2 linked regions of the Oryctolagus cuniculus genome follow. The protein of the gene in region 2 binds, or shares a complex with, the protein of the main gene of each other region. Links are inferred from orthologs where the notes say so. Each region holds a gene or a part of one and is shown on either strand. Other genes may lie near its edges. The genes, in order: LDLRAP1 and AP2B1.

Region 1 (4,585 bases), on a different chromosome or scaffold from region 2:
ACAGAGAGAGAGAGAGAGAGAGAGAGAGAGAGAGAGAGATCAATCTTCCATCTGCTGGTTCACTCCACAGAAGGCCACAACAGCAGGGGCTGGTCCAGGTCGAAGCCAAGAACTCAGTGGGTCTCCCATGTGCACGGCAGGGGCTTGGGCCTCACCCACTCCTTTCCCAGGTGCACAGCAGGGAGCTGGATTGGGAGCAGAGCGGCCGGGACTTGAACGAGGTGCTCCGAAGCGGGATGCTGGCATCACAAGCAGCGAAGTGACCTCCTGCACCACAGTGGCGGCCCCTGAACCCCATTTTTCACCCCTTCTCTTTGAGTTCTCTGACAGGTTGGCACATCCCCCAAAGGGGTCTGAGGGTCAGAGTGACCCCGGAACCTTTGGAAAGAAAGGTACTAAGGGACCAAGGTGAGCCACCCTTCTGGGCACTGGGAAGAAAGGAGAATCCTTGGATAGGGAGTGAGGTGAAACATTTACGGTTCCCCGAGAGATGGGAAAAAGCCCTTGTGGGAGAGGGAGCCAGGAGGCCTCGGGCCCAGGGTGGAAGCCTGGGGCGCTGGCTTTGCTGTGTGACCTCAGGCGAGCTGCAGCCACCTCTGGGCTTCTTCCTCCACCAGGAGGAATTAAACAATATTCGCGCTAATCCTAGGTGAGAACCTTGAGGGTGAGGAGCAGGTCACAGGTGGCGGCAGGAGTCAAGTCTACCCCAAACTCAAACCCGAGGCCATAGCCAAGACCTGGCTGGTTCACAGCCCGGAGCAAGGCTGCGCCCGCACCCCAGCACAGGTGCCCCCTCGGCTTCCCTCTGGCAGTCGTGGCCACCGCTGTCTTCAGGGGCTGCCTTCTGCTGCTGCCAGGGCGACAGTCCCCCGGGGCACCGCTGAGACCCCTGCCTCAGCTCCGCCTCTGGGAAGCTCACTTTACTGGGCCTCGTTCCGCTGTCTCTGAATCCCCTGCTCGGGTCCCTCCACAGGAGCATGTGAAATCACGCAAACAAAAACACTGGTCAGACAGCGACAGAGGCCGTGGTCACCGGTCACCGTGGTGACCACTGGCTGAGCTCTTCCTCCATGCGCCAAAGGCCATCTCACTCAACCTGGCACGGTGGGCAGGAAGCAGGCACCACCTCCCTTCCAGTCTGCAGGTGAGGGAAACGAGACGTAAGAAGGGCAGCTGGGACTCTGGCCCTGGGCTCACAGGGGCCTGGGGGAGGGAGACCCACTCTGCTCGTCTTTTCCCTGGAGGTGCAGCCCGGCTGTGGCCTGCCCCAGCACAGCTCCCACCATGTGAGGGTCCACACCGCCCCAGGAGGGAGTGGGAGAGTCCACACAGCAGCCAGGAGAGCTGGGATTATCCGGGCTCTGCTTCCCAGCCCCGCCAGCCCGGGAGCTGTGTCCACTTTGCAGATGAGGAAGGCAGGGGTCAGAGAGGGCAGGGACTTGCTCAAGGGTTGGACAGGCAACAGAAACCCTCCCAGCACCCCATGGCTGCCTCTTCCCCTTCCCCAGAGTGAAGGCACTCCTGGGCCTCCCTCCCGGGGGCTGTGGCACCCACCATCTCCCCTACACCCCTGGACGTCCCGGCGGGGTTCTGCCACCCTGCAACAGCCGGGCATTCCCAGCAGTCCTGGTCAAATCCCACGCATTTTTTTTAAAAGGGCTATTTTGGGAGTAAGTGTGGGAGATGGCACATCCCTGGCCTGCGGCCCCAGCGGGTCGGTGACCCCACCCTCCGCAGCAGGCACCAGCCGCTCCCAAGGCCAGTCTGGGCTAGGAGGCCGGCGCAGCTGCCACCGCAGAGGGGGCAAGAGGCGGGCAGGGCGGGCTCCCAGGCCCAGACACGCTGGCGCGCCCGGGACCAGCGAGGGCGGAGCCCCCGGAGGCCCCGCGGGAATGGAGGGCAGGGCGCACACAGCCCCGGAGCTGCTTCCAGGTGGGGTGAGGGCGGCGGCCCCAGGTGGGCGGCACCGCCAGGAGTGCGGGGCTCGGCTGCACCCCAGCCACAAGGGCCCGTGCGACTGACCCCGCGAAGGAGAAGCGGCCTGGGCTCGGTTTCCCGGGCCGCCGCGGAAGGCGCCAGGTGATGAGTTTCCCGAGCGGAACCTGAGACGGGGCCAGGTGAGGCTCCTCCCAGCCGCGCGGGGAGAAGGGGCGCCCGGGGACCTGGGAGGAGGGGAGGTGCGAGGGCAGGCCGCCGCGGGTCTCGCCACCGGGACCCTCCCGCTGCCAACAGGTGGGTACCTGCCACCTCCTCAGGCTCACACCTGGGCGGCCGGGAGGCGGGGCCGGCGGCGTTCGAGGGGGCGACACCTTCCCCAGCCCGGGCACCGCCGCCGAGCTCCCGCCGCCACCTGGCTGCCCCGAGCGGCGAGGTGGGGAGGTGCGCGCGCGGGGTGGGGGGGTCGCACAGCTCTGTCCTCCGGACTTGCAAGACCACCCCTCGCTGCACCTAGGGACCCCGCCCTCGGCCCCCTCCCCAATCCTGCCCCCACCCCGGCTGCACAGGTAGGGAGCGGCGTGACCCGGGCGACCCCCGAGCCCTGCACGCCGGGCAAGGGCCGCTCCGGGCCGCGAGCGCGGGTCAGGCCCCGCCTCTGCCCCGACTTGGCCGAACTCCGGGCTCCCGCGGGAGGCCAGCGCCTCGGCCCGGCCCGGCCCGGCCCGGCCAGCGCGCACACACTCACTGCGATGCCGGCCGCCGCCCCCCCAGCTCTGCTTGGCCAGGCTGGGGCTCCGGATCAGTGCCCGCCCCGCGGACTTGAGCGCGTCCATGGCCCGTTCCGGCCACCGCCGCCGCCGCCGCCGCCGCCGCCGCCGCCAAAACTCCGCCAGGAAAACTTTGCGCCCGGCCAGGCGGCGGCGGGCTGCGCGCTCCTCCCCGCCCCTCCCCTCCCCTCCCGCGCCGGCTCGCGGCTACGTCCGGGGGCGGGGCGAAGGCCGCAGGGCACGCCCCGGACACGCCCCCGCGCCCGCCCGCCCCGCGCGCCCCGCCCCGCCCCGCCCCTGCTCATGGTCCCGAGGACGGTGCTCCCCCAGGCTGCCCGACAAAGGCGCCGGCTCTTTCCGGGCTCCCCGCCGCCGTCCCCACCCAGTAGGGACCTGGGAATCCGAGAGACCTTGTCAAACCCTCCCCCTCCCCGCCACACACGCACCTCTGGTTCCTAGAGAGCCAGGCCATTGTAGAGATGGGAAGATTGAGGGTCACAGCAGTGGAGGGGGTAGGAGGGGCCGCAGGAGTGCAGGCCGAACCTTGCAGGACACTGGGCAGCAGTAGAAATAAAAGCCTGCCCTTGGTGAGACCAGCTCTGCACTTGAGCTGACCGCCCAGCGCCACGGCTCCCTGGCCCCTCCTGGTAGCCTCGGGGACCGGGCAGCCTCTGGCGCTGCCCACTGAGGTGTTTGGGAGGAGACCGTGGCCCTTGACCCTGAGTTGCTGATGCTTCCCCCCGCCTGGGTCTTGTTCTTTAAGTATTTGAAATTTAAATATTTATTTTAAGGGAAGAGAGACTAAGAGGCAGAGATCTTCTATCCGATGGTTCACTCCTGAAGTGGCCACAGCTGCCAGGACTGGGCCAGGTCAAAGCCAGGCCAAAACCCGGAACTTCATCTGGTTCTCCCACGTGGGACCCTTCAGAAAATGCCCACCCGGGTCCAGCTGTGATGTGGCCGGAGCTGTGGTATAGGGAGTAAAGCCTCCGCCTGGTGCCGACATCCCGTGTGGGCAACTGGCTCGAGTCCCAGCTGCTCCACCTCTGATCTAGCTCCCTGCTATGGCCTGGGAAAAGCAGTGGAAGATGGGCCAAGTGCTTGAGCCCCTGCACCCTCGTGGGAGACCTGGAAGAAGCTCCAGGCTCCTGGCTTTGGATCGGCCCAGCTCCGGCTGTTGCAGCCATTTGGGGAGTGAACCAGCAGACAGAAGAGTGATCTTTCTTTCTCTATCTTTCTCTCTAACTCTGCCTTTCAAATAAATAATTAAAAACCAGAATCCAGCTGTGATCTCTCTGGGACCCTAATGCCCTTCTAGGAGGCTCCTCCCGCACAGTCTGGGCTCTGGGGTTCTTCACGCACCTGCAGAGTCTAGGCCTTCCCATCATGCTGAGCCCGAGGGAAGCAAAGAGCCAGCCCACGTGTGCGTCCTTCCAAAAGTTCACGGAAAATGGGATTAGCAGCGAAGTTTATTTTGATGCCAAACATTGAGAAATCCCCGCAGAGAGGAGTCTGCGGTAAGTTTGCAGGGGGTGCGTGTTAAGACAGAAACTATGCATGGGTTCCGAAATGTTTTTGCACCAACATAAACTTGCCTTTTAGTTCCATTTTTCCATGAAGCTGATGTACCCAAGCCAGAGCCTGGTTTATTCCAGGTGGCAGAGCCTCAGCAGGGCCAGCTTCTGCCCGTGTGACGAGGCTGGACATAGAGGCCTGCGGGCCTGCCTCTGCAGGGAGGGGGCGGGGCTGGCCTCCCTGTAGGGCTCCCTCTCTTCTCTGTGTAGCTGAAGCACTTTGTCAGCCATTCTGTCCTTCGTTCCTCCCAGACACTGGGAGCCAGTGATAGAGCGCCCGTGTAGACACTGCGGCCGGCGGTGGAC
Region 2 (3,801 bases):
CCTTTGACATTTAAAAAAATATTATTTGTTTATTTCAAAGGCAGAGTTACAAAGAGGTAGAAAGATCTTCCATCCACTTGTTCACTCCCCAGATGGCCACAGCAGCTGGAGCTGGGCTGATTTGAAACCAGGAGCCAGGAGCTTCTTCCTAGTCAGTCTCTGTTCAGGGGCCCAAGGATTTGGTCCATCCTCCACTGCTTTCCAGGACACATAGACAGTGGAGACTTGAATTGGTGCTCATATAGGATGCTGGCACTTCGGATAGCAGCTTAACGCATTGTACCACTATGCCGACTCCTGTAAGGTCCTTTTAAAAAGCCATTGTCAGGGCCAGCTCTGTGGTGTAGCTGGTAAAGCCGCCACCTGCGTTGCTGGCATCCCATATGGGTGCCAGTTCATGTCCCAGCTGCTCCACTTCTGATCCAGCTCCCTGCTGATGGCTTGGGAAAGCAGTAGAAGATGGCCAAAGTGCACCCATGTGGGAGACCCACTAGAAGCTCCTGGCTTCGGATCAGCTCAGCTCTAGCTGTTGCAGCTCTTTGGGGAGTGAACTAGCGGATAGAAGATCTCTGTCTCTCCCTCTGTCTGTAGCTCTACCTCTCAAATGAATAAACAAATAAATCTTAAAAAAAAAAAAAGCCATTATCATGATACCATTACCATATACAAAACTAATAATAATTCTTATATATTCCTTGTGTGTTCCTTTGTTCTTTTGGTTAGAATACCTCTTGGATGATGCTGTGTATTTCCTATGGCATCTTATCAGGAGATATATAATGAAGTGATCCATAATAGTACATTTTAATATATGACAGATCAGTTCTTGATTTTCAAGCTTATTCTTCTAGAATCATATCTTTCTCTATCTCTTTTAAATATTTGTTTGAAAGGCAGAGTTACAGAGAGAGAAAGATAACCTGCTGGTTCACTTTCCAAATGGCCACAATGTCTGGGGCTGGGCCAGGCCAAAGCCAGGAGCTGGGAACTCCATCCTGGTTTCCCATGTAGGTGCAGGGCCCAAAATCTTGGGCCGTCCTCTGCTGCTTTCTCAAGCACATTAACAGGGAGCTGGATTGGAAGTGGAGCAGCCAGGACTTGAAGCAGCACCCATATGGGATACTGGCCCTGGAGGCAGTGGATTAACCCCTTGTGCCACAATGCTGGTCCCTAGAATCATCTTGCTTTGGAAAATTGAAACTTACCATGTCAATACATTTTTTGTTACTTACTTTCTTCCATATTTTCTTAATTGATAAAAGATTAAATTCCATGTATAACTTACGTAACTCAAAAAATGGTAAATTGTTTAGTAGTTCTTAGAGTCTTTTTATATTTAATTAATTAATTTGAAAGAACTTATAAAGAGATTTAGATTATGGGTAGCTATGAAAAACAGAATGAGAGAGGTGGGTCTTCTCCTTAAAGAATATGCTTATATGCTTATACACAATCTGGCAAATTTGTTTCAAGAAATGTAAAGACACTCTCTGCTGTCTCCATTCATCCATGAACTCCAGTTAAAGATGTTCTGCTTGGTTTAATTTTGAATTTTTATTCTTGCCTCATCTTGGCTTATTCTTTGTTATCATTTCTGTTCTCCTGGCTGTCCAAGAGATTTTTTTTCCCCAAGAGATTTGAATCGACTAATCTCTCAATATATTTTGTAATGAGCAAGATTTGAGGTATTTAGAACTGCTGTTGATTTACATAAGATAACCCAGCATCAAATTAAGGTCATGATTGTTTTCTTTAGTTGATACAAGTGTATGTTTCAAACTTATTTTTTTCTTCATGTTGAAATAGTATCACTAGATAGATTATCTGACTTCTCATTTTTTATGTTCCTCTTCCAGCAATCAGCAGAGCGCTGTGTCAGCACGTTGCTTGATCTAATCCAGACCAAAGTAAATTATGTGGTCCAAGAGGCGATTGTTGTCATCAGGGACATCTTCCGCAAATACCCTAACAAGTACGTCCAAGTGCTGCTATCTCCTTTTCTAAAATCAGTTAGGAAATGTTTAAGTAAAGTGCTTTGTAATTGGCTGGTAAGAAGTACTCTCTTTTTTTTTTTTTTTTTTTGACAGGCAAAGTGGACAGTGAGAGAGAGAGAAACAGAGAGAAAGGTCTTCCTTTGCCGTTGGTTCACCCTCCAATGGCCGCTGCGGCCGGCGCGCTGCGGCCGGCGTACCACGCTGAACCGATGGCAAGAGCCAGGTACTTATCCTGGTCTCCCATGGGGTACAGGGCCCAAGCACTTGGGCCATCCTCCACTGCACTCCCTGGCCACAGCAGAGAGCTGGCCTGGAAAAGGGGCAACCGGGACAGAATCTGGTGCCCCAACCGGGACTAGAACCCAGTGTGCCGGCGCCGCAAGGTGGAGGATTAGCCTAGTGAGCCGCGGCGCCGGCCGAGAAGTACTCTTTTTAACTAAAGTTTGAATTTTCACTCTGCTTTATTACTTTAAAAGAAATGAAAACCTGCCTGAATATACATGATAAATTAATATATTTTATGGTTAACATAACCAGATTCTTTGTTTTTAAAAAAAAGCATTTTGTGACCGGCGCCATGGCTCACTTGACTAATCATCTGCCTGTGGCGCCGGCACCCCGGGTTCTCGTCCCGGTTGGGGCACCGGGTACTAGTCCTGGTTGCTCCTCTTCCAGTCCAGCTCTCTGCTGTGGCCCAGGAGGGCAGTGGAGGATGGCCCAGGTGCTTGGGTCCCTGCACCTGCATGGGAGACCGGGAGGAAGCACCTGGCACCTGGCTCCTGGCGCAGCACCGGCCGTGGTGGCCATTAGGGGAGTGAACCAATGGAAGGAGGACCTTTCTCTCTGTCTCTCTCACTGTCTCTAACTCTACCTATCAAATAAAAATTTAAAAACATTTTGTTTGTACTGTATTTTTATATTATTTTTTAGTTTTTTAAAAATTTATTTGAAAGGCAGAGAGAGATCCCCCATCCGCTAGTTCACTCACAAATGCCCAGAACAGCTAGGGTTGGACCAGCCCAGAAGCCTGGATCTCAATCCAGGTCTCCCACATGGGTGGCAGGGACTCAATTACTTGAGCCGTCATTCACTGCCTACCAGATGCACATTAGCAGGAAGCTGGAATTGGGAGTAGAACTGGCAGTTGAACCTGCACACTCCAATATGGAATTTAGACATCCCAAATACCAGCTTAATGGCTGCACCAAATGCATAGACCCCAACCAGAATCTTTGATGGTGAAGTTGCCGTTAACGAGAATACCTAGGGGTGGCTATCGAGGCATAGCTGTTAAGCTGCCCCATGGGAAGCAACATCCCATATCAGAGTGCCTGGAATTGAGTCCTGCCTCCACTACCAATTCCAGCATTCTGCCATTGTGCACCCCGGGAGGCAGCAAGTGATGGCTCAAGTACTTATGTCCCTGACACCCATGTGAGAGACCTGGATAAAGCTTCTGGCTCCTGGCTTTGACTTGGCCCAGTCTTGGCTGTTGCAGGTATTTAGAGAGTGAAACAGCAGATAGAAGATCTCTCTGTCTGTAGCTGTGCCTTTCAAATGAAGTTAATTAGTTAATTAATTAAAAATAGGCCAAATCAGTTTGCTGGGAATGCAGTCTAGGTCTCCCACATGGATGTCAGGGACTCAGCTGAACTGTCACCTGACACTTTGCAGGGTGTGCGGCAGCAGGAAGCTGGAATCTGGAGTAGAGCTGAAGCTCAAACCCAGGGCACTCTGATATGGGATGTTAGTGTCCTAGGTTAGATGATGAAAGCAAGCAATTGAAGAATCTGAAACAGTGAAATAA

Evidence for each region.
Region 1: the proteins of AP2B1 (region 2) and LDLRAP1 are in contact, whole or in part, in a crystal structure (PDB 2G30), measured with the Homo sapiens proteins. The link is inferred for Oryctolagus cuniculus from reciprocal best matches to the Homo sapiens genes AP2B1 and LDLRAP1. Residues at the interface, in NP_001273.1 of Homo sapiens: Arg834, Gln835, Phe837, Leu838, Trp841, Glu849, Gln851, Ile876, Ala877, Arg879, Val881, Glu882, Gln884, Met886, Tyr888, Glu902, Arg904, Ser915; in NP_056442.2 of Homo sapiens: Asp253, Leu255, Asp256, Ala258, Phe259, Ser260, Leu262, Ala263, Gln264, Arg266, Thr267.

The regions. Positions count from the first base shown.
Region 1 is NC_091438.1:145,821,344-145,825,928, forward strand, and holds the start of LDLRAP1 (low density lipoprotein receptor adapter protein 1), read right to left. Parts: upstream 2,870-4,585; 5' UTR 2,772-2,869; coding exon 2,684-2,771; intron 1-2,683. UniProt on the Homo sapiens protein: Adapter protein (clathrin-associated sorting protein (CLASP)) required for efficient endocytosis of the LDL receptor (LDLR) in polarized cells such as hepatocytes and lymphocytes, but not in non-polarized cells (fibroblasts).
Region 2 is NC_091448.1:38,978,559-38,982,359, reverse strand, and holds part of AP2B1 (AP-2 complex subunit beta), read left to right. Parts: intron 1-1,856; coding exon 1,857-1,972; intron 1,973-3,801. UniProt on the Homo sapiens protein: Component of the adaptor protein complex 2 (AP-2). Adaptor protein complexes function in protein transport via transport vesicles in different membrane traffic pathways.